3 linked regions of the Nothobranchius furzeri genome follow. The protein of the gene in region 1 interacts with the protein of each later gene in a pairwise test. Links are inferred from orthologs where the notes say so. Each region holds a gene or a part of one and is shown in the gene's direction. Other genes may lie near its edges. The genes, in order: dcp1a, pnrc2 and edc3.

What was found.
Region 2: the proteins of dcp1a (region 1) and pnrc2 interact in binary tests that used the Homo sapiens proteins (3 or more experiments, as listed by UniProt). The link is inferred for Nothobranchius furzeri from reciprocal best matches to the Homo sapiens genes DCP1A and PNRC2.
Region 3: the proteins of dcp1a (region 1) and edc3 interact in binary tests that used the Homo sapiens proteins (3 or more experiments, as listed by UniProt). The two-hybrid records come from large-scale screens. The link is inferred for Nothobranchius furzeri from reciprocal best matches to the Homo sapiens genes DCP1A and EDC3.

Annotation. Positions count from the first base shown.
Region 1 is NC_091755.1:32,990,115-32,998,624, reverse strand, and holds the end of dcp1a (mRNA-decapping enzyme 1A), read left to right. Parts: coding exon 1-35; intron 36-409; coding exon 410-450; intron 451-1,220; coding exon 1,221-1,348; intron 1,349-3,191; coding exon 3,192-3,258; intron 3,259-3,362; coding exon 3,363-3,501; intron 3,502-3,574; coding exon 3,575-3,607; intron 3,608-4,266; coding exon 4,267-4,827; intron 4,828-4,911; coding exon 4,912-5,124; intron 5,125-5,225; coding exon 5,226-5,306; 3' UTR 5,307-6,651; downstream 6,652-8,510. UniProt on the Homo sapiens protein: Necessary for the degradation of mRNAs, both in normal mRNA turnover and in nonsense-mediated mRNA decay. Removes the 7-methyl guanine cap structure from mRNA molecules, yielding a 5'-phosphorylated mRNA fragment and 7m-GDP.
Region 2 is NC_091745.1:69,952,847-69,960,864, reverse strand, and holds pnrc2 (proline-rich nuclear receptor coactivator 2), read left to right. Parts: upstream 1-3,561; 5' UTR 3,562-3,749; intron 3,750-4,206; 5' UTR 4,207-4,425; intron 4,426-4,625; 5' UTR 4,626-4,645; coding exon 4,646-5,110; 3' UTR 5,111-5,651; downstream 5,652-8,018. Other genes in the region: fabp10a (fatty acid-binding protein 10-A, liver basic), read right to left, coding at 7,778-7,828, 7,930-8,018. UniProt on the Homo sapiens protein: Involved in nonsense-mediated mRNA decay (NMD) by acting as a bridge between the mRNA decapping complex and the NMD machinery. May act by targeting the NMD machinery to the P-body and recruiting the decapping machinery to aberrant mRNAs.
Region 3 is NC_091744.1:58,992,848-59,001,243, reverse strand, and holds edc3 (enhancer of mRNA-decapping protein 3), read left to right. Parts: upstream 1-4,040; 5' UTR 4,041-4,181; intron 4,182-4,373; 5' UTR 4,374-4,376; coding exon 4,377-4,540; intron 4,541-4,612; coding exon of another isoform or gene 4,613-4,629; coding exon 4,630-4,856; intron 4,857-4,949; coding exon 4,950-5,288; intron 5,289-5,372; coding exon 5,373-5,526; intron 5,527-6,936; coding exon 6,937-7,154; intron 7,155-7,248; coding exon 7,249-7,583; 3' UTR 7,584-7,810; downstream 7,811-8,396. Other genes in the region: uncharacterized protein, read right to left, coding at 111-143. UniProt on the Homo sapiens protein: Binds single-stranded RNA. Involved in the process of mRNA degradation and in the positive regulation of mRNA decapping. May play a role in spermiogenesis and oogenesis.

The DNA of each region.
Region 1 (8,510 bases):
CTCTTTACAACTTCAATTCAAAAGCAAACGAATGGGTAAGTAAGAGAATTTACCCTGGAAAAGTTTCGGGAAATATTTGGTGGAGAGCCAACAAAGCTAGCTTCACACTTAGCTTCTGAGCTTTGATTCAAAACAGAAAATATTGTTGTTGTTTTTTTTTTGGGGGGGGGGGTTGTTTGTTTGTTTGTTTTGTTTTTTAAGTAAATGTCTTTATTTGTTTAGTTAATTAAGATAGCGTTGTCTAGTATGTTGTTTTAACGCGAACACAATTAATGCATCTTAGGTACTTTCTAATTGTAAAATTTAACGCCTTATTAGCTTTCAGTTAGCTTATCACCCTCGCTAAATTTATTTAGCTAGTTTGGATTTGCGGTTTCTAGGTTTGAGTCGTTATCTCTATTTGTTCCAGGAGAAAACCGAAGTTGAGGGAACCCTGTTTGTTTATGCAAGGTAAGAATACCTGAGAGCCACGATGGTTGTTCCGCCGTCTGCGCACGTGAGGCCTTGAAATTTGTAAACAAAGATAAAGTGGACTCTGTGATTCAGTAAATCGAACGTAAATTACAGTGTTTAGAGATTGAAACTGAAATATTATGTTATAACGTTGTAATAAACTTTATTTTTAATCAGTTAAAGCATGAAGAACTAAAACGACCACCTACAAACTTTAGTTATAAGGAAATATAATAGACTTTATTAATTTTGTGGGTAAATTCACTCGTTACAGAAGCACATACACTTAGAGAATAGAAGAAGAAAAATAACAAAAGTACCAGTAAATACACAAAGGCAAATCTTTCTGTTAAAAAAATAAACAGGACACGAATTTGTTGTAGGTTACTTTGAATTGGACTGGGAGCTACTTAAATCAATAGTAAAGTTAACTGCTATCCTTTATATTAATTACTAGCACAGTAAACAGCTCCTGCTTTTTAGCAGGTAGAGACCTCCCACACTTGTGCCGACCCAAACCATAAAACTGTTAAATGTAGTTTCTGGTCAGCAGAGGGCTACTGAGTGCTGTCCCATGTGAAGATGTTCAACTTTATGGCTGAAGAACCACTGAAACCAGTTTGAAGGCAATAGCTTAAAGTGTCGAAAACTCTTTAGTATTGCTTTAAATGGTCAATTAAAAACAATCAAATGTGGAGTAAATATTGTACCCAAAGCAATGTGAAGTGCAATTAAGGAGGTAATGTTTTTCCTGGGTCCTTATGAAGGTCTGCCTCCCCTCACCATGGCTTCACCATTATGAATCGACTGAGTGCACAGAACCTTGTTGAGCCCATAAATAAAGACCTGGAGTTCCAGCTGCAGGATCCTTTCTTGCTCTACAGAAATGGAAACTGTGAGTGTTTTGAAGGAAATGAAACACTAAAGAAGTATTTTTGAAATATGTTATTTTTTCTGTTGTATTTTGGTGTGTTTGTGGTTTTGTTTCAAGGTGACTTAACATTAAGGACTTGTTTCCAGCACAGAAAAAGTGTTTAATAAATCTGTAAACATGTTTAATGACTTCTGAACCAAAATGAAAATACATTTCCTCCTAGTATAATAGCTTATTATTATTGTTGCTTTGTTAAATTCTGTTAGTCACAAAATGCTCATTATTTAATAGAAATTTCTGCAATTTTGGCATTTTCATAATTTTCCTATTTGAAGCATTAGTGATATCTTCACTTTTACATACAAATGTGTGTATTAATTATATTAACTAGCACAAACACTATTATGATCCTTAATTATATTAACTAGCATAAACACTATTATGATCCTTAATTATATTAACTAGCATAAACACTATTATGATCCTTAATTATATTAACTAGCATAAACACTATTATGATCCTACCTGTGAAAACAATAGACAGATATCTCCCCAGCGTTCGATGGAACACCTCTCTTCCATATTGCTTGAAGTCATTGTGACGTCTTGCAGCATCAAGCAGGAACACTTTAGCACTCATGGCCCAAAATGGCCAAACAGCAACTTCAGCTTTGCTAGTGAACAGTTATCTTTCTGCATTTGGGCAACCGTCTCAGAGTTAAGTCTCTGATTGGTGAATCCGACCACTAAGTTAATCCAGCGATGTCCTCCAGCCTTGTGACAGAGCAGTGTAACAAAAAGGCCGCAAAGTTTCTCAAATCTTCAAAAAGTAGCTGACTGCGCTGCCTCCAAGGTAATCTATTAGAAGTCTGAAGAGAAGCTTCATCAGGGCAACGAACAAGGAGTTAGAATGCTTTCCCATTTGTTTGCTTATAAGGAAAAACAGCATAGCCAGGGTCAAAGTTAGAGTCGACGGCTCCCCTTTTGGAGTTGGTTTGCACATCAGCCTGGCTGGGATCGAGGACATGATGAGGTTGGTATCCCAGTAAAACCAGCTTCTCGGATAACTTTACTTTAGCATGTGTGCTAATATTGTTGTTTGGTGGAGTTGCAGGAAGATAATCTTCAGGTTTCTCCCTGGCAGCAGACAGTCCCTCGCACACACACAGTCCACTAGATCTCAGTGTGCTGACTCGTTCTGTAGCCTGTTGCTGTAAAGGTGTGGCTGTATGAGTTTAGATTTCCCAGCTGTGATCCTGAAAGCGAGAGTAGTAGAAGAAACGATGAAGACTGAGCTGGCATAAAAGCAGGATCAAATAAAGAGCACAGGTTAGACACAAGTACGGTTAAATCTTCAGAGAGATGGTGATGATTAACAAATATATGAGTGTTTCTTCAGTCTCCTTTGAGTGCTTGTGAGCTTGCAGCTCGGGGCTATAGACTGTTGGAGAGAGACATACTTGTTTACATGGCTTCATATTCCCTTTGGTGGCTGGAGATGCTGCAGGGAGGCAAACTCTTCAGTTGCTAGGTAACCACAGCCTCCCTGGGGGATGGTATATTCACCAGTGTGTTGGTGCAATCCAAAATCACATAAGTGATGTGGTAACAAGTTAATGTTTCTGTGAAAAATGTAATATTTAATCACTAAATCATTTTTGGTTTGTGTCAAATTTGATGTTATTTTTTTCTGTTCTCTATCTGCTGCTTGAAACAAAGATGCAAATCATGCAGAACCGAGTCCTTGACACAGCTCTAAACAGCTTTATTCAGTCATCACCCTAATTCTGTGCTTTAATCGACAAATTGTAATTTTTCAGTTTTTTAGGCAGCTAAAAATGTGTTCTTTGTTTTGTTTTTACAGTGGGAATCTACAGTATTTGGTTTTATGACAAAAAGGACTGCCAACGCATCGCTCAGCTGATGGTGAAGTAAGTAGGTCAGCACATCCATGCTGTGTTTGTGGATATGGTTTTTGGGGAAGTTCTGTAAATAATTAGAAGTATTTCATCAGTATGTTTTAACTTTGCTCCAGGATTGTAAAACAAGAAGTGGACCACGCCAAGAGGAGGAGCCCAGAGAGAGCAGAGGCAGGCAGAAGCAATGGAGTCGCAGAACCGCGGCCCATCGACATCCTGGAGCTGCTCAGCAAAGCAAAGGAAGAATATCAGAGAGTAAGATTTTTAAAAGATGTTTTAGTTTTTCTTAAAACACCTGATCACTTTGTCTTTTTGTCTTTTTCTGAAGACCCAGTCCGGGGAGACAGAAGTGTCTGCAGAGGTGAGCATGAAAGCAACAATCAGTGATGATAAAGAACACAACACACTTGAAAAGATTCATTATGAGTTCTGTTGTTTTTATTACGTCCTTTAGAGGTGATGACAGAATGTAATAAAAGTTTTGTATTTGTTTGATGTTGACCGCAGAAAAGTTATGTTGTTTTTTATTATGCGAAAAGTGGTTTAATCTTTATTTTACTAATTACTTCCTAATTTTATCTGTTTATAAATGATGTGTAATGGAACAAATATAGAAATAATAGAAATTAGAAATAATAGAAATTAGTTGTAATTTTATATAAATACTTATATTTATTTAAGTTATTTGTCATTTTTAAAGTAATAATGGTGGGAATTGTTGATTTCTTTATTTGTTCTGTTTTGGGCCCTGTTCCTTGGTGATTTTGACGTTTTTCTTTTGTATTCCAGATTTTATTAATGTCTCAAAATTAGCATCTTAGAGATAAAAATCTTTTTCAGAATTTAAAGATGTCACAATCTGCAGCAGATTGTTGTAAAACCATCGATTGCTAAAGTTTATAATGGCCAAAACTCATCATTTAGTTAAATACTGATTCTAAAAAGGGGGCAATGAAGGTGATTCTCAAATAAAACATGATCATAAAATAATTTATAATTAACCCTCTTTTTTTAATGCAGGGCTTTCATACGATGGTGAAGCAGATCACAGTAGAGGAGCTCTTTGGTTCTTCTCTTCCTAAGGAACCCTCTCTAATGGCCGCGCCTTCACACAACAGCACAGCTTCCACTGATCTTCCTACTGCCTTTGTCCAGAAACAACCTTATCCGCCCCAGCAAAGTCCATGCATCCCCTCTGTCTCCAACCACCAGCAGCAGAAAGGCTCCGCCCTAATCCCAGCTCCTTATGTGCTGAATCACAGTCCTGTTTTCCACTCGGTGGTTCCGAGGCAGGACCCCCAATCCCAGAGCTCCATCTCCTCTCTTATGATGTCTCCATCTGGATCTGAGCATCTAGCTACTCCGTCTGGGCCCATAGCTTCTCCAGTCACTCCCAGCTCCTTTTTGGGGCAGGATCTAGTTGGCTCGCTCAAACCAGCTGCATCGTCTGTGAATTCAGGTGTTCACAAACCGGTCCTTGCACCCAGCTTCCTGCCAAGCGCTCTGGTTCCACCTCATAGCTTCCAAGAATCCAACAAAGAGGTTTTCTCTCAGCCTCCTAGCCTGATAAACCCAGTTCCTGTGAGTTTGTTAGCTGGTGGCTTTTTGTCTCTATATCTTTCTCAGCTGGTTATCCACAAAATTTCCTTTTGTCTCTGTTCCCAGGCTTTCCCCGTGAGTCCAGCTTTAGCTGTCCCCGTGTCAGAGATGTCTGTGCTTCTTTCCCCCAGCGTCTTTCAGCAAACCACGAATAAGAGCACATCAGCACCCATGGTGCCTCCTGCTTCCTCTGAAGCGTCCTGTGCCTCTGGACGGGCTGTAGAGTCTCTACCCTTCAGTAAAACCCAGCTACAGGACACTTTGATACACCTCATTAAGGTACAGTTCCGAGAGGCAAAGTTTCATCTTTGATGCTCAGAGTTAAAAAGAATGAGTTGAATTTAAGCTGAATGATGGTTGTTTACTTCCTTCTTGTCTAGAATAACCCAGAGTTCCTCAGTGCCATTCATGAGGCGTACCTGCAGAGTGTATCCAAGGACCTGCGCAACATTAAGCTATAGTCCCACCCCACTGATGATGTCACTGCTGCACCCATGTGACCACAGAAGAGACTATTATTGAGCAAAGATGAGCTGAAGTTTGATATTTTAAGCCGGTTTGAACTGGTTATACTAGGGAATGTCATGGAAGTCTTATCAAGGCAAGGAGTGTATCTGGTTAAGATATGTAAACACTGAACTGCTGTTCCAGTTGATTTTGTGTACTTTTCTTTTTTGAAAACAGTATTTTTTTACCTTTTTGTATAAAAACGTCCGTTCCTGTGCAGACAGGCAGCTAAAAAACTAACGTTTTGTTTCTGGCTGCTGACTAAAGCATTGTTATGCTTCTCAGACTCACAAAAAAACAAACAATATTTTGTTACTATTACTCGTGTTTTTTCTACCTTTTGCTTTTCTTTCAGTATTATTATGACTCCTCCACTGGCTTAGCTCTCGGTGCTTTTGGAGAGTCTTGTGCCGTAAATAACCTTTAGGGTGATAACCAGCGTTCAGGGTTGCACAATGGCGTTTATGTAAACGTCCGAGTTCAGAGGAGCTATGAATTTTAAAAAATCCTTTCAAATTAAACATCATGAGCTAAACTTATATAAGTGTTGTTCCATTAGAATCTATGTTATAACATTCAGTCCTTATTATCACATGTGGTCTGATGTTACTTAGTCAGCTACACATTAACCAAATTAAAAGTAAATAAATTAGCTTCAGTCCTCTTGTTTATCCAGTCATATTTAAATCTCCAATAATTTTATTTTTGTTTAAAGCTTTTCGGGGGGGGAAAAGCACAATTGTTTTTTTTTTTTACATTTCAAACATTTTCATTCTTTTAGAAAAATTGTTTAAATGCAAAAATGTTTTTCTAGTCACAAATCATCAAGCATATTTCATTAAATCAGCTCTGCTCATTTGCTCCAAAGTCACTAATTAACAAGAAAAAAAAATTTTGAAGACTAAAAGATTTTTTTTTATTTTATTAAAAAAAATTAAATAATTTCAAGCAAATTTCATTATAAATCCTTATTTTGACATCATGACTGTGTCTGATTTATTATAGGAATGCTGTTTCCGCCTCAGATCGGCAAATCTTTTTTTTTTTGACTGCTTCAGTGTAGAATGTGAAAAATGTGCATTCTAGAAAGATGATTAAATAATCAAACTAAAATAATGATTTCAGGCATAATTTTGGTTTTTGGTATGTTTAGTGTAAAATTGATTATTTTAATCATAGTCACATATTTAAGATATTAGTTATTTTATTTATCTTAAGGCCAGAAATGTGATTTTCAAAAAGTTTTGTTTGTTACATATTTGGCTGGCCATATTTTGTTATAATAAAGATTTAAACACAGATTTGACTGCTGATTTTTATTTATTTATTGCTGTGAAAATCTGTTTCAAAGCTGAAATGTGTTTTTTATTTTGTCTGGATGCATTTTGGCTAAAACTTAAGAAAAAGTTTTACATTTTTATTTATTGAAACGAAGTAAAACTTTCTAAAGCATTTTGTTAGCTTGACCACTAGATGCCACTAGCTTTCAGTTGATGTGACAGCACTTCTGAAGTCTTAATTCATTGACAGACATTTATATGCAAAACAATGGCTCCAGCTAGCTGAATTTGCCTGTGATGAGTATATTTATGTCGATGGTGATAAGCACTTCATTGTTTATATTTGGAATAAACGTGTTATGATTTTTTCCCTGAAACATGATGGGTATCAATTCTGTCTTATGGCAGGGGCGTGTCCAGGGAGAGGCCTGGTGTGCATAAGACACCTTTGGAATCTGGTTAGCCACCTGGATGAGTTCCATTGAAATTTACTTTATGCCCCAATGCCAATACTCGCACTTTCACACTTGCACCCTTCAATTGTGCAATCCCAGCCAGGAGTGCAAGTGCGTAAGGTGAGGAAGCTAATCATTTTGTGCCTTTGACCTGCACTTCACCCAAGTCTGCATCGATGCAGACTTGGGTGAAGTGTATTAACCACATTGCCGCAGGAGAAAAGGCTCAGGTGCCTTTTCTGAAAATATGTAGTTTCAAATATAAGTAGTTAATTTTAGGACGATTAGTTGATGCTCTGAATGTTTTCAACAAAGCAGCAATAAATGTAAATTTATTTCAAGTAATTGGTTGTTTGTTTGAAAGTTGTTAAAGAATTTTTTTAAGTATCACAGCAACCAGCATCCCGGCATGCAACAGAAACAACAGTCATGGTACAATGTGAATTTAGCTTATTCACTAGAATGCGAAAAATTAATTATTTTGGGAGGGTTACCCCACCCCAAAAAAAAGACATAACCATAGGTGCCACCCCCAGCTGGGCCACCCCCATCTTAACAGGCCTGGCCCTGTCTGATGGAACAGATTGGTTACTGAAAGTTGTCATTCCTTCATTCATTAGGGTGTCTCAGATATTTGGTATCATTCACACAGCCACTCACCGGGTCCTTAAAATGTGATCTACAGGTGAACCTGGAAAATGTAGAATATTGTGCTGTTAAGGTGCATGTTTTAGTCCACAAAGGTGTTTTCTTTTTAATTTAACCCCAAAAGCATGGGTAAACTTTACAAAATTTAAATACATGCCTGCTTAATTTAGACAAAGGTAGATCAGCCCACAAAAACACAAAGAAGGTAAAACACACAAAAGTAATAGAAATCATGACAGAAACTAACAAAGCAGAGTATTCTTTTTTATTTGATAATATGTCTATCTCTTCCTTTTCTGCTTTCCTTTTTTCTTTTATTGTTCAGATCGATTAAAAATAGAAGTTTTGTCGTGAGGATGTAACAAGTCCACCTGGTTCCACATGGAGCCAACATGAAAAGTCCATTAGATGAAGAAGTGGGACCAAACAAAACACTGTAATATAATATAAGAACATTTCTGTGTCCTTGATAAGAACCAACAAAATAAATGTTCATTCTTATCAGATTACATTAACTTTTTTTCTATTTTTAATGTTTCATTCTTTATAATTAATCTCCACATGAACACTAATTCATCTGCACCACGGTTATTTGTCCATAATCTGCCTGAATGCGTATGAGCGTGTGCTCGTGGCTCTCTCTCACCCTATTGGCTGCATTGTTCCACTAACCTGCTCCTTTCAACCCAGATTAGCCATATCCATAGGCAGACACGCCCCCTCCCTCCCCCTTCACCTGTCATCGTCCTCTGAAAACTCATCCTATTTATTCTCG
Region 2 (8,018 bases), on another chromosome or scaffold:
CGATTATCACTTGTAAGTCGCTTTGGACAAAAGTGTCTGCTAAATACATAAATGTAAACATAAACATTTAAATCAAAAAATACATGTCTGTGTACAGTTTACTGTACTGTACCATTCCTCCAGCTCAGGCTCTCAAACATGAGCCAGCTCCTCCCATGGAGAACCCATGGAGCTATCAGGCTAGAGAGGAATTATCTGCTGAAAGATCTCCTCCCAAAAACCTCCAGAGGAAGGTAACCAGGAGTCCTCTTGATGAAACAGCAGCTGCAGCTCTACTCAACTCCCACACTGAACCTGCAAACAAAGTACCAAGGTCAAAAGACCAATCCTGTAAAGGCACTAGTTCACTGTCTGTGATTGTTATCCTGACTCTTATATAAAAAATGCTAAAACATCAGACTGTACAGCAATGTATCAGAAGACGGTTTAGATTTTTAAAGCATGTTATAGTCAACAGAACACCAAATACTTGCTGCTTTTATAGAATTTAAATTATAAAAGAGGTTTAGACAAAAGTTAAATTGGGTCCTGTTAGCATGCAATCCTGACTGTACACTGCTTTTGTAAGAAACTACGGTGACCTGCAGGGTGGAAACAGCTGATTTGATATTTTAAAATGACTTGCACTAAAGAAAATCTGTTACATAATCTATTTAATAAAACGTTCAGCTTAAAATTAACCTGTTAAGTTGCAACATTTATAGTAAGGTGCAAGTTGAAACTGTTCTGTTGATGAAAACAACATATTAAATGACTTCATTTGCATGTGTTTAAACATAAATGACACGTGAAACTTTTTGTCTTTTCTCACCCACTTCCCTTTGTTTGTGTGTTTGGAAAATTTGGAGATTTCAGAATATTGAAATTCCTATCATGACCCTTGCCTTTTAACATATTTTTTATTATTTAAATTGGATTACTATTATAGACCTTGAGTAAATCCCACTTTGCATGAGCAAAAAGAATGAAACAAGCAGCTTTCCTGTTTTCCATTCTACTATCTATTGGTTTAAATCTGTTACTCTTTGACTTGTTTACACTGTCAGCATTTGCAAACAGTGAAATGGGTTTTAGTGACCCACAGAGGCCTCAGTGACCTACTTTCCTTACATAGCCAATCCTGGTGTGCACAGCCCCCATTCAAGGCAGCGTTGCGTTTCAAAGGCGTGTCCTGCCATAGTGTGACAAATGCCTTGTTGCGCAAAAGCTCCTTTTAACTTCAGATAAGAAAAGTTGAGTTGATCAAGGACAAGACTATCTGCTGGTCTGTACTTTGCAGACTTGGAGTCCCATAAAACCACCTGCTAGGCTATGTCACATGTTGTTGTCCTCAAATGGTCTGTAGTAGAAAAAATCTTATTGAGTTTCAAAAGTAAACAAGTATTAAAAATGTCTTATTATACGTTTTTATGATTTTTATTGGATATGGAAAGAAAAAAACTATGGACAAAAGCTATTATGTCATGGCTCATTTTAGGAATGGGTCAATGCTTAAAGTGGCAGTGTATAGTTTCCTGGCAAAAGGGGGCAGTACATACATTTCTGGGTAGTTTTACACCATATCGCCATTGCTGGTTTAAAAAAACATTACGGTAAATATTGTTGCCTGTGGAGCAGAAAGCATGCAACCTCGGCGTGACTCCTCAGACTTTGATGGTCCTTCGGTTATTTCCATTGAGAGAATGCAACGCCAATTGTAGTTTGCTGGCACTGCACTTTCCGGATCTGCTCGGGGTCCTGCGCCTGCCAATGACGTCATCACACTACGGCAATGCCGCTTGGCCAAAATACATTGCATCTCTTTTTTGATTCTGTTCTTTCACTTATGTTTTGGAAAGAGTTTATCAGTTTTGTTAATAAATTTGTGTTTCTTACTGCCTAAATGTTTTTGAACGTGGTAAACTAACTTCCATAAGTTGTACATCCAGCCAATCATCTAGTGTGACATCATCGACAGGCGCAGGACCCCGAACCAGCCAGAAGGAAAGATGGTGTCTAATATGGCATCCCCCAAAGACGACCTGCACCCTATATACCCGATTTTTATGGTTATATGGTACCATGCCGCTAACATTTTTCAACAACTGGACATCATTTTATTAATTTTCAATAATGTTTAAAGGGATATTTCCAGAGATTAACGGCAAGAACAACCCATTAGCTACATTTACATGCGCCAAATTTCCCCCATCCAATTCAAATTTTGGTTGTTCAGAAATCCCAAATCTCTGTTTACATGGACACTAACTGAAATTATCCGATGCTTTAGATTTTACCTATCACTTTAACTAAGCTAGGCTCAGCGGTACGTAACACCATTTCCTCCACAGAAGAGGGGAGCAGGATAACTTCTGTTCGCCTCCTGTCATGTTTTTGACTTGTCCTGAGCGTCTGCAGAAGCGGAAAAATGTCACGCCAAAGTTGCACACATGCTCAGTGGGCATTACCCCAAGAATCCAAATGAGTGTACATGGACGTCAATTGGAGTGTTGATTGGACAAAATCACCTATCTCAATGGAATTTCATTCCAAATGAGCTGTATCGGATCAGAATATTCCAATTGACATGTTTACGTGAATAATCTTTGATCTTATAGGGCATTCATTCCGATTACTTGTCCCCATGTAAACATAGCTATTGTCTCTTTAAGTCAAACTTACATCGAACCAACTCAAATATAGGCTACATGCAAAAATCTTTGCCATTTTCTTTTATTTCAAAAAAGTATGTGACATTTCTTACTGATACTTCATGGCTATTGTAGGCTTTTTTTTGTCCATTCCCTTGCCAAAAATGTAATTTTGCAATGCTGCAGCTCTCTCAACCGTATTATTTATTTATTTATTTATTTATTTATTTATTTATTTATTTATTTATTTATTTATTTATTTATTTATTCCAAAACACTTTTTTTTAAAACATTCAGGTGGCTGTTATAGCACTCTTAATCAAACCTGGATTGAGAATCTGAAAAAGAGTTTTGGTGAAATAATTGTAACTTGAGCCAACGTTGGGGGATGGGTGGTGTCATAGTTTTCTACAGTCACTGGTTTATGTCTTGTGTTATGGTTATTACATCCTGTTGCAACTGGTCAGAGCTGAAGAACAGATTCAACCCACAAAACGCAAAAAAACAAACAAACAGTGGCATTCTGTTTCAGAAAAACAGTTAAATCTGAAAGGTTGTTGTATTTATCTTGTTGCATAACAAAACACGATTGCGCTGTCGACTTGAAGCTAATATACGGTGTTTTATGTACCACAGGGACACTTCATACTTGCTCTTTTGCTTGTAAACGTGAGATTTTCGTCATCGAGAGTGATTGTTTTGAGTTGTTTTGTCACTTCTCTTAGGAAATACCCGGAAATACCCTAACCATTTCCAACAAAGGAATGGGAGGGAGGAGGGTCAGCCATTGACGTCAGCAGTCTGGCAACAGGCTCGAGCGCGTCCGCTTACCTCTCCTGTAATTGGTCGCTCGGAACGCATTCCCTACGTGATTGGTTGGCTCCGTGCGAGCACGGACTACATAGCTGTGGTGAAGATTCCATTTTGTTGCAATCAGAAACGGAAGGGAGAAGTGGCGTTTCGACGGCCACCGGTAACAGCACACAAGCCTCAAAGGGTGACGGATTTGTAGGAAACATAGACTTCTGTGCTTCCTACACAGTCCACGGAGTGAAATCAGAGGCTAACCACATAAATATTTTCAAAGAAAGGCTTTAACAACCAAGCCTGAGGAAGTCGGTAAGAGAAGCTGTTTTGAGTCTCGTCGCCATGTTGAGTTCCGTTTCTTTTGTTTTGGTTATGTGGCAAAATACAGCGATACGGATTGGGTAGCCGTTTGATTTGTGTTTCTAGCGTTTGTAAATGTGAAATTAGTTAACTAAAGTGCGACTTGCCATATTTTCATCGAACTTTATTAATCAAATTCATCGTAAGTGGTTGGAACAATGATTAATACTAAATGCGTTTTTATGCTATTTTGTGTTTATTTGTTCATTTTTATATCAATAAACCCTGAGAAGTTAGAAATAAGACGACGGGGTGTTGTTTTTGTCTTTGTCATGACGCATTGTGGCGTACACCATTGTTACAGCTAATTAATGCCTTGTTACATAATAAAGACGTGCGTAGCTTTTGTTTTGTATATTATTGTCGCTAGTTTGCGCATCTAAAAAACGCCTTTTCACGCATTTTTAAGGCTCTCGACTTCTTGGAGCATCGTGCGCCGAGGTGAATTGATGTTCAGCTCGGCTTCACGGGAAAACAACGCTCATTGGCACATGAAAACTTCAGACCTTGCTGGACTTCTAAGTGCAGCGAGAAGTAGACAGAGAGCTACTTCGAGGACCTGGGGACCGATCGGAGGTGAAAGATTAAAGAGGGATCTCAGCCACGTCCACTCTCTCACAACAAAGAGGTGAGAGCTGCCTGGCTGGGGGTGTTTTTGCTCTGGGTTGTGTGTGGGGGAGGGGCAGCGCAGCCCTGGACGTCTGCAGCTCCTGCACGTAGCTGCTGCAGCAGCTTGTTTTTTTGTGGAGGGTGCAGTGCAGAGTGCCTTTTACGCAATAACTTTTATTTTAAAAACGAAAATGGTAACGTTTTATAATTGTCTTGCAGGTGACAGGTAGTAGTGAAACATGGGAGGTGGAGAGAGGTACAACATTCCAATTTCCCACCCGGATCGCCCCAAAAAAGCCCATCAGCTTGGCAAGGCTAAGCAGAGAAGCCGTGACCAGAACGGAACCACAGCAGCATCTGTAGGAGGAACGGGGGCCCTTCACCACCACAGCCACCGTCGGAGCGACAAAGGCCCTGCCTACCACAGATCTCCAGAGGCATGGCAGGCCATGTCCTTGGAGAAGAATGCTTCTGTCCGGTTTGCCACCAACTACGAAAGCTGGGAGGGTGCAGTGTCTCATCTTAACACGCTCCTGTCAACCCAGGGCAGCCCGAGCTATGCAGGCCCTAAGTTCAGTGAGCCCCCCTCACCTAGCGTGTTGCCCAAACCCCCGAGTCACTGGGTGTCTTTCCCTATAGCGTCCTGTGACCACAGGGAGATGATGGCCTTCGAGCTCAAAAACCTGCTGAAGGTGCAGGCTTGAGCTGAGTACACACACTTCACCTAACTAGAGCCAATGCTTAGACTGTGACTCTGTTGAGGCATTTGCTCACCAGGAATGCCTCAAAGCTGTAATACACTTAACGTTTTAACAGACATCATCCGTAGCTAAACGTGGACATTTAAAGCAGTGAATTGACGTTGAGTCAATTTCTTTTAAATAGACTTTTAAGCTATTACAGCTTTGCTGCCTTGTTGGTTGGGCATGCCTTAAATGGAGCCAGTTTTTGTAAAACGACGACAAACTGGATTCTTTTTACCTTTTTTTTGTTTTGTTCTTTTTAGAGTTGGCTGTCCGAGCAGATTGAGTGTTCTTTTTTCCCCCCCAAATAGGGGTTGAACTATAGGTCAGGTGACATCCATTACTTTTATGGTCCATTTCTGTGGGCAGCTGAGCTACTTCACTGGTTTTGGTTTTAAGGTTAAAGTCTTTGGAGGGACTTCCAAAGTTTCGGGTGCTAAAGCGAGTTCATGTTTGTAGCATTTTTTTAAGAGCCCCCCCCCTTTTTCTTAGCTAATATATATACCTTGTTTGGAACGAAAAAAGGCACTCAACTGTAGTTCTGCAGGGAAAAATGATATTCTATTGAACGTGAGCTGGTGGATACGGTGAAAGCCTGACCTCGAAGGCTTGAACGAGACCATAGCACATGGACTTCAGACCACCAACTCCTGTATCCCTTTTTTATTGCGCTGTGCGCACACGCACTATAGGAGTTGAGTGTGCCTGAAGTCCGCAACACTATCACAGCATTATTTTGTACAAGTCCTTTTTGATGTGATTGAAAGATATGTGAAGCGCTGGGTAACCAAAGCTTTTTTTTTGTTGACGGCCCCCGTGTGGTTGGCGTGATTCCCACTCCTTTTCTCTTGCCAGCCCCGGCGGTGAATGGGTTAGCATTCCCTAAACATTCGTCTGTTTCGATCAGTACTGTTACTGCCCTTCAGTCTCTGCCTCATCACGACGGTGGCGCAGCTCCCAACGCGCGGAAGAGGGCCTCGTTTTTACGACGGGGTCCAGTTGGGTGCGCGCACGTCTGAGGTGAGGTAGAACCCAGGAGCTTTTCTAGAGGGAAGCAGCTCAAGGGGCGTAACCTATAGCAACGGAGATGATTTGTTTGTTTTCAAACGTCGTCCCTGACCGACCATCTGATAATCCGTCCCCTTGATGCTGCTCGTTTCCCCTCCTGCACTGTAACCAGAACTTCACCCTGAGTACCAGGTTAGGATGCTATGGGAAGTGATTGAGATGCAATGGACTATCTTATGAGTTCTATATTTTTGTGATTTAGGCCTCTGCTGAGGCTTTTTCATGTTTTCCCTTTGCAGAATTGAAGCTGCTAATAGCCAGTGTAAAAACAACAAAACAAAAGAGATTGTTAATGTGTTCAAGAGCCATGTAAATAAAAAATGTGTAAAGTACTTGTAGCATATGTACATTTACAGGCAAACATTTGATGCCTGTCTGACAAAAGTATTTTTAGTAATGAGAATGAATGTATAAGACGTGCTAAGAACATGTCTTGACTTCAATATTGAAGAATATTTTTGTTAAAAAAACAAAGAAAGTTCCTGCTGTTAGCATTTAGCAGTACCCCTACACTGTCGACCTGAAGGAGATCTTACACATGTTTTTCTATTGTTTTGTATTACGCAGTGTAGGGTCAGATATGCCAAGTGCAAATTAAATAAAACAAAAAAAAAATTTAATTGGATTCGAGGAGACTTGCGTATGGAGAGATTTGACGTTTTAATCTGTTTACAGATTGTAAGATCGACACTTAAATGCTAACGAACTCGTTAAGTTAATTTTTTGCCAACTTTTCTTTTTTTCTTGAATAATCACCAATCCGAGGTCACTTTGAGCCCTCAGCTGTTCTTCCGCCAGCTGACGGTTGAATCTGACTCACCGATTAATTATTACCTTTGTTTTTTTTGCCGGATTCAGTCTTGCATAGCAATGTCTCCTCGCTCTACATAAAAACAGAAACAATTGGCTGCTAATTTGTCCCTTTTCGCGAAACGTCACCGATGATTAAAAGATGTGCCCCATTTTAAGATTTGTCTTGATTGATTTTCAAAAATGTAAAATGTGCATTGAATTGATGACAAAGTTTAAAAAAATAAATAAATTCCTTCCCCTCCCCCATCTTTGTCTCTGTTTATTGTTATTTCAAATAACTATATTTGGGTGTGATACCCTTTTAACTTTAATTTTTGTAGTAATTCCTGCTATTTTTAGCACAGTTGTCATTCAAAAAATGTCAAAATGCTAAATTATGTGAATAAGTAAAAATAAAATTTTTGATTATCAAACATTTTACATGTTTAGGAAATGTATGTGACATACCTATCATCCATGTGGGAATGCTATGGCATAAAAATTATATTAATGCATGCACATATCCTATAGAGGACACACTGCACAGACAAATAGTTTTTTGCATCATTTAAGTTTTAGTGTTATTTATATTCACCTCCATAAAGCTAGAATTGAATATGACATTTACTTTAAAAGCCTTAGTTTCAACAATAAGTGTTTTGCATTGTGTCAAAGGCATGTTGGCCAAATGTGCACAGACATAAAGAACAACACAACATACAGTAAACACCTCTTTATTTAAATACATATTCTAATTTTTGTTCAGGTCTAGACCTTTCTGCTCCTCCTGACCAGAGTCGTCGAGCCCCGGGTCAAAGTCTAAACGGGGAAAAAGAAAACAAATTAGAAAAATAATTTTTAAAAATAAAATCTTTTGCAGGATTTCAGCATGTGTGCAGGATTATTCCTGTGCACCAGACCTCGATCATCTCTCCTCCTTTGAGTTCTTGGACGTGGCAGAATTTGCCGGTATTGCAGACGAGCTTTCCACCCTCCAGATTGACAGTGC
Region 3 (8,396 bases), on another chromosome or scaffold:
CATATTTCCTATGGAATCTCATGTCTTATGGTTCATTAAATAACATGTAAATTAACCCTTTACATTATTTATTAATCCAGCTGAAAAGAGAAATTCTAATCAGATCATACCTGGGCTGTAAACTGAGAACTGGTGTCCCACATGTCTGTTCACGAGAAAAAGATGGGTTTGAATTTTAAAATAAATCAAATGAACATCCTGCAGAGTCTCTCTCTCAATCCAAGCCACAAGTTTGCTCTGTGAGGGAGAAACTGCTCATGAGTCTGCTTACATGAAGAGGAGAGATTTTCACACAAAGGTGGCAGCTGGAGGTTTGTGGCTATTCTTGGATCATGCCTCTCGATGGTTTCCACTGTTTACGTGATGATCAGCAGATATTTATTTTTGGGGGTATGGGTATATTAAAACAGTCTGAGGAGAAAAAAACTATGGATGAGTTGAATTATTTCAACAGTCCTATTTGTTCTGTCAGAAACTCTCCTGTTCGTTATTTACTCACTTTGGTTCATGATCCATCCATGGTGATCTCATTACACAAACACAGCTGGATGAGTGGATCATGATCATCACTTCCTGTATAGTCCCCACATGATCACACCTAGTCTGACCTACTGTTGTTAAGAATATCACCCAAATGTTAATAAGGCACAGAACTTGTCCTATAATTAAATGTTAATTTAAATCAAAACTGATTAGGGAAAGAACTAGTTTTAAATAGTTGTATGATTTTTTTAAGTGTGCAGGACAAGCAGTGTTATAAATCATCTGAACAGATACTGATATTCTCCAGGCCAGTGTGAAATGTTGCACAGCTCTGACTAAATCCTAAGATGTTTCCTTCCATGAAATAAACAGGTCAGAAACACTGATCTGCTTATAAAAATAGTGTGCAATAAATGGACTTAAAATAATTTAGAAGGAAATTTAAATAGCTGCTACATCTTCATGTTTACAAGAAATCAAGAGTTTAGAAAAGACAAAACAGTGTTAACCCAGCTCAGATTTACATCAGTTCAGCCAACATATCTGAAGATTTGTCATCCAGTGGATAGAAAATGAAGCCAGCCCTTACAAATAAAGCACCGACTCTTACAGAAACTATATCTTTAAAAAAAAAAAAATTCTAACCTTCTGTGGCATCTGGGAGAAAAAAAGAACATTTATGTGTAAAGTTGCTTGGAGCACTGTGCCATAAATCAAAAGCGACAAATAAAACACCCACAAGAAAAAAATAAATAAATAAATAAATAAATAAATAAAATAACCACAAGTAAAGTCTTTGGAGTTATTGATCAGTCCTCTAGATCAGTGGTTCCCAAACTTATTTAGCCACGCACCCCCTTCTATGTCCCGACCATGTCGACCCCCCCCCCCCCCCACACACACACACACACATCGGGGCATTGCTATATATATATACATATATATATATATATATATATATATATATATATATATATATATACATATATATATATATATATATATATATATATATATATATATATATATATATATATATATATATATATATATATATCAGATGTCAAGCTAAACAGACAGGGTTAAAAAAATTCCCCATCACTTTCATTTTTTAAATAGTAAATAATAAACGTTCGATACATTACAATTTCCTTTGATTTCATTTTAAATAAATATTTGGAGTGCCCAGGTAGCACATAAACAATGCAATTTAACGGTTTTCTTAAAGTAGGAACGTTTAACCTGTGCGGCCAGAGCGCTCTCCTTCCTTCTGCTCTGCGTAAACCTGAGCTGATCACCTACTTGTGCGTAATCAAATGTCAATAGGGGACAAGATATAGCCATGATGTTCACTTTTACCTCAGACCGACTTATTGCTGTTTTATGGTGTGGCTAAATCTGCGATCCGCTGCCACGCGGACTGGAATAACAAATGCTGCAGTAACAGGACTTGTGGTCAGGTTCATGAGGAGTCACTGGCTGTAGCGGACCCGACTCATCCCAGAAGCTAATATCTTAATTTGACCTTGAATGAAAAATAACCTCTTAAAAGTTTTTATCAAGGTGGAGGCAGCGTTCATTTCTGCCTTCAGTCTGACAACGCGCCGGAGTTAAAGCAGCGTGCGTGCTTATTGAATCTGTGTGTGTGTGTGTGCGCGCACGCGTGTGCGGCATAGCCGCTCAAGTCACCGCGTCTCGTTATTGGCGCTATTTAAACTTCTGCCCAGCCCAGATGTGCTCACATGTGCACCCGTGAGCCGTGGTTCCGCTGGAACACGTCTGACCTCTGACAGACGCACTCTGAACTTCAGATCTTCAGCGCGCTGTCAATAGCCTAAATGGGAATCATTTCTTGTTATTTTGTTACATCCACAATGTTCTGTGTGTGAGGTTTACAATGTCAGAACACCTGCATGAGACAGGGTGTTAATTACAATCTGCCAGAATGACTTGCCACCTTCAGATTTCTCCAACACCGTTAAAAATGATCAAATACGGAACATATCGGCGTGCGCAGGCCAGAGTGCTGAAGCTCGGCGCATTGTTATTATGAAGCTAGGGCACATGCGGAGGACACGCGCGCGCGACGGAACATATCGGCGTGCGCAGGCCAGAGTGCTGAAGCTCGGCGCATTGTTATTATGAAGCTAGGGCATATGTGGAGGACGCGCGCGCGCAAAAATATACTTGTTTTCAATTACATTTATTGGGCCCACTTACTTTTTCTTAGGCCCACCCACAAATGAGTTTCTACAATAATGGTGACATATGACAGACTTCTCTGAGCTCCGCAGCCATTACACTTTTCACCTCGCGCACCCCCTAGCGGCAGCTCGCGCACCCCCAGGGGTGCGTGCACCACACTTTGGAAATCCCTGCTCTAGATGAAGAACCTACAAATTCTGAAAAATCTCAAGCATTGTTTATGCAAGAAGCTGCTGTCACTCAGGATTTGGCACAGAAGCTGACTGACAGCATCAGTGAACTGCAGACAGCTTCAAAAAAAGAGGAAATGCTGCAAGTACTGATTATTTGCTAACTAATAACTGTTTCCATTAAATGTGTTTATGGAATGGTTGTAAACCTTATAAAATACTTGTACTTCAGTAAAACATGTCAAACAATAACAATGAATCCACAAACAAACAAACAAACAAACCTTCTAACACCACAACTAAATCATAAAATATTAAACTCACTGGAACCCTGCTGAAGGGAGTGTGGACACATAAGTGCCAACCACACCCACATGTTTTGGACATGCAACAGAATAAAACCATTTTAGGATCAAAAATCTATTGAAATGACAAAATTATTTGGATATAAAATACCCCAAAATGAGATGATTTTAATGTTTTGTAACTTAACTGAGAATGTGGTCAAGAGAAAGGACTATCTCTGTAAAATTTTGTTAATTGCTGGTAAAAAAACAATAACCAGAACCACCAACCCTGGAACAGTGAGAGGAGACAGTGAACAATATACGATGGAACGGATCACTTTTTAGTTGAGACTGAGGGGAGAACTCTTTTTTTTAATGGGGAAAAATGGACCTCCTATCTTCAAGGGACATAGGATGCTAAAGGTAAAAATATAACTGGTTATAGGATAGAATTGGCAAAGCCCCAAGCAACTGTTTTATATTCACCCATACATTTTATTGTCATTTTTTCAATTTTGCCCTATATGGTTCTCCTTCTTTTCTTTAGTTTGTTTTTCTACCAACACAGATTTTTGTTGTATATGTTGATTAAATAAGAAAGACAAATAAATAAAAAGTAAAAAAAAAAAAAAGAAAAGAAAAAAAAGAGGAAATGCTGCAAGTATTGATTATTTGCTAACTGATAACTATTTCCATTAAACGTGTGGAATGGAATGGTTGTAAACCTTATAAAATACTTGTACTTCAGTAAAACATGTAAAAAAATAACAAAGAATCCACAACAAACAAAAACTCACTCACTCACTCACTCACTCACTTTCAGTTAAAGACTTTTGACTAAACGTTTTTACCAGCCAGATATAAAAGTTCCGTCTTATTTTGAAAAGCTCAGTCTACCGGAAACAGGAAGGCGAATAGCAGTAGCTGTTCTAAAGCTAAAACGCTAACTTCTCCGAGAGCAATTTTCTTAGCTTTTACTACCCGCTGTTTCATTTTTATTATCAAGAGGGGTCTACTTTATCTTAATTCCCTAAAGGTACGGTGATAGTTGAAGGTATTTTACGTTTCAGCACGTAAATTGGCTCTGCGTAGCTTAATAACAGGCCGGAATAATAAGCAGTCGACACATTTCGTAGGCCTAAAAATGAACAATTAATATTTGTGGTTCTCTTAGGTCACAAGTTAACGTGCTGCTGTAACAAGTGTGACAACTTTTAACTTTTTGCAGATAATGGCTGCGGACTGGTTAGGTAGTTTAGTGTCCATTAATTGTGGCCCAACGCTTGGGGTGTATCAAGGAGAAGTATCATCAGTGGACCAGTCAAGCCAAACCATCTCTCTAAGGCAGCCTTTTCACAACGGAGTCAAATGTCCAGTTCCCGAGGTCACATTCAGGTAAACACGGGTCTTTTCCACTGTTAGTAACTTTGTGTGATTTGCAGTTTCTAGTAACTATTGATACAATAGTTTGATTGTTTTTCCAGTGCCATTGATATAAGGGAGCTAAAGATTTTAGACATCAGAAGTGGTAATGCAAGGAGAACCTCTACTACAGCTACAAACGTGCACAGTGTTCCGGTGGCAGTCCCAAAGGGTGACCCCAGAGCTGTTGAGAAATTAAACTCTCCCCAGCAATGCTCTAAAAGTTACGGAGAGCGTCATCTAGATGCTCTGGGCCAACCCAAAGGGTTTCGTCGAAGACATAACTCATGTAAGGGCCATTTGTTCGGCGATCAAATAACTAAACAAAAAATCAATTTCTGTGGCATGATACTAATGGTTGAAGTTTTTCTAATCTCACCAGGGTCATCTAGTAGTCGAGGACCAAACCAAGCAACACCTAAAAAGAATGGAGTGAAGAACGGTCAGATGAAGCACAGAGACGATGAGTGTTTTGGGGACGGCATGGAGGATGACCTGGACACGGATTTTGACTTCGAAGGGAATCTTGCCCTTTTTGACAAAGCAGCAGTTTTCTCAGAGATTGACACATCAGAGCGGCGTAACGGGGCACGGTCACGGGGCACTCCTCAAGACCAGACACCCTCACGGTACCGCCATGATGAGAACATATTGGAGGGCAAACCAGTCGTTTACAGACAGATTATTGTACCTCAGCCTGGGGCCAAAGAGTACTGTACTGGTATGTGCTTAACATTGTAAATGGTATTATATGATAGTGTTTGGGTTTAAACTGGTTGACACCTTTCTCTATTACTTTCTACAGATTCTGGACTTGTTGTACCAAGTATTTCCTATGAACTCCACAAGCGGCTGTTGTCTGCTGCTGAGCGTCACGGCCTCTCACTGGAGCGAAGACTTGAGATGACTGGAGTGTGTGCCAGTCAGATGGCACTTACACTGTTAGGAGGGCCCAACAGGTAAATGTGTAAAGATGAAGACTAACTTCTAAATCACCTTAGAAATAAGGAAAGTTTTGAGTCAATTTCAGCACTTAAATTATTCGAGTAACTTAAATGAGCTAATTACAGATACTTCATTGGTTGTCATGACTGTGGTTTCCTCTGTGTCGACATGTTTAATTGGGACTGACATGCTGAGGCAGCCCGAAAAGTGGCTTCACTTTTTAATAATGGAGAAAAGCAAAGATTTTTTTATGCATGACTAAGGCCGACTCTGGTATAAATGATGGATGAAACAGACCAAACGGTTTTGGATCAATCAATCAATCAATACTTTATTAATCCCAGAGGTAAATTAGAGTTTCAGTATGCACAATTCAGAGATCAGACATACAGGTTGGTAGGTCGGGTTTTCACAGCATCTGTCTGCATTCCTTCATGGGGGTTTTTAGTTGCTTGCAGTTCAAGGCTACCAGGGCGTCAGATTCGGATAACAAGAATTTGTTTGGGTCAGGCTGATATAATTTTCCTCTTTGCCTTCAGTCTTTTAAACTGATCATTCCAGTCCTTCAGTGAAGCCAATTTTGGGTTTTTAAGCTTGTCCATACCGTCTGGTAACTCTCCGAGATGACGTCCATTTTGCACACTAATACCGGTATCGCAGCTAGAACATTGTCCAGCTTATGATTCACCTCGAGTAACGTCCCAGTCTGAGAAGTCTCCACACGTACGGTGCTTTCCGTGGGTGCAGGTCACCCTCCAACCGCTCCCGTCTTCCCAAATTTCCAGAAAACCAGATATCCTCCCACTCCAATCAGGAGAAATCCAGTGATCATCAGGCCGAATATCCACACGTCTTCGATATCCTCAATCGACAGCTGGGAGAGGCATATGATCTTCCACTCCTTCCGGGAATCCAACATATATCCCACTGGGTGTGTCCCCTGTGGACATGTGGGAGCCCCCCTACTCCGTTCTCAATGTTGAAAAAATCTTATCGATCGCATTGAATGACCAATTTATCAAATCCATGGTTAGTTAACAGTTTTTCAGAAGAAATGCAGAGAAGCGCTCTGTGGGCAGACAGGACAAAGAGCCTTGGGGAAAAAAAGATAAGGGAGCAAAAGAGGGAAGCGTCTGTACTCCTCGAGTGCCTGAAGAATCAGACATAAAGAAGATCAAACATAAAAAAGCATCAAACTTTTGAGTAAAAGATTGGGAACAACCTGCGTGATGCATGTAGCTGCAGCACTAGTCGCTTGTGTACCCTTTTGTTTTTGTTTCCTCAGGTATGTTCTGAGGTGTAGTTTCCAATGTTTCCTCTTTTCGATGTTAATGCAGGTTATTTAAAGAATTTTCGTTAGACAATTGATCCTGTTAATTTCTCCAAATTTTCTTAACCTAATCTGTGTTTCATTTCAACTCTAGATTCACACCAAAAAATTTACATCAGCATCCCACTGTGGCGCTGATGTGTGGACCTCATGTTCAAGGCGCTCAGGGTATCAGCTGTGGTCGTCACCTGGCCAATCATGAAGTAGAGGTTATCTTGTTCCTGCCAAACTTTGTCAAGATGCTTGATTCTGTGACAAACGAGCTCACACTTTTCAACAAAACTGGAGGCAAACAGGTGTCCAGTATCAAAGGTGGGTTTGTTGGGACATAAATATTGATAATTTGTTTATTTTAGTAATTAAGAGTTCAAAAATTCTATAGTTATTCTTTTATCTGACCTTGCAGATCTCCCAGACACACCAGTTGATCTGATCATAAACTGTCTGGCCTGCCACGAGAACACATTCCTGATGGACCAGCCTTGGTACCGGGCAGCTGCAGACTGGGCCATCCAGAACAAAGCACCAGTGCTCAGCTTGGATCCTCCTGTAAGTGGACAGGGACATGCAGTAGAGGCGAAGTGGTCCCTCTCGCTTTGCCTCCCCCTTCCTTTAGCTGAAGGGGCTGGCAGGGTGTACCTGTGTGACATCGGTATTCCTCGCCATGTGTTTCAGGAAGTTGGAATCAAATACCTTTCTCCTTTTGGCTGCAAATTTGTCATCCCGTTACACTCGGCCTAAAATGATCGAGTATAATTTTCACCATCCATGACCATTTTGGTTTTGGAGCCTTATATTCCAAAAGTCTCAGTTCAGTTTCTGATGTATCACATTAACTGGACTTTGCTTCCCTCATACTGGTGGACCACTGTTGTTTACTTCATACAGACATAAGACTACGTGAACGAAGGAGGAATATATTTTGAGTCTTTATTTCAAACCCATGACCTGACCACTGGAGGAGATTGATGTTGTGGTTAAGTCAGGGGGTGATAAACAGTGTGACTAAGTTGTTAAATACGCTGTGATATAAGGTCCTCTTCTAAATCGAAAAGGACAATCTCTGAAGTGAATTTCATAGTTCTGAAGCCATATAACACGTACTTCCTCTTTTTTTTTTTGTTCATGAGGCAGAAAACGTGTTGCTAGATGTAACTTCAGTTATGTTGTTCTGAACAGACATTTCCATCTACACTTGTATTTATCAACAACAAATGAGATAAATGCAAATATTTGAGTTATTGTGCCAGCAAAGGAGTTCCTCTAATGTAAAAAGTCCCTTTTATCCAGCATGCATGTAATGCAGAAATTATATAGATCAGTCATCACCAAAATTTGAGTTAAAATAAAACAACATCCTTATTGTGATGCTTGCCAAATGGTGCAGCTGCTGGATAAACTTGCAGAAATCTGCAGAGCTGTGATTAAAGCAGTCTTATTTTGCTGTTTGAGCATCTGAGGGGAAAGTTTTTCTTAAGGACAGTATCAGTGTGTTCATAGCAAAATACCTGTTAGAATGATCCATTTAACACCTATTAAATGTATTTTCTTGCA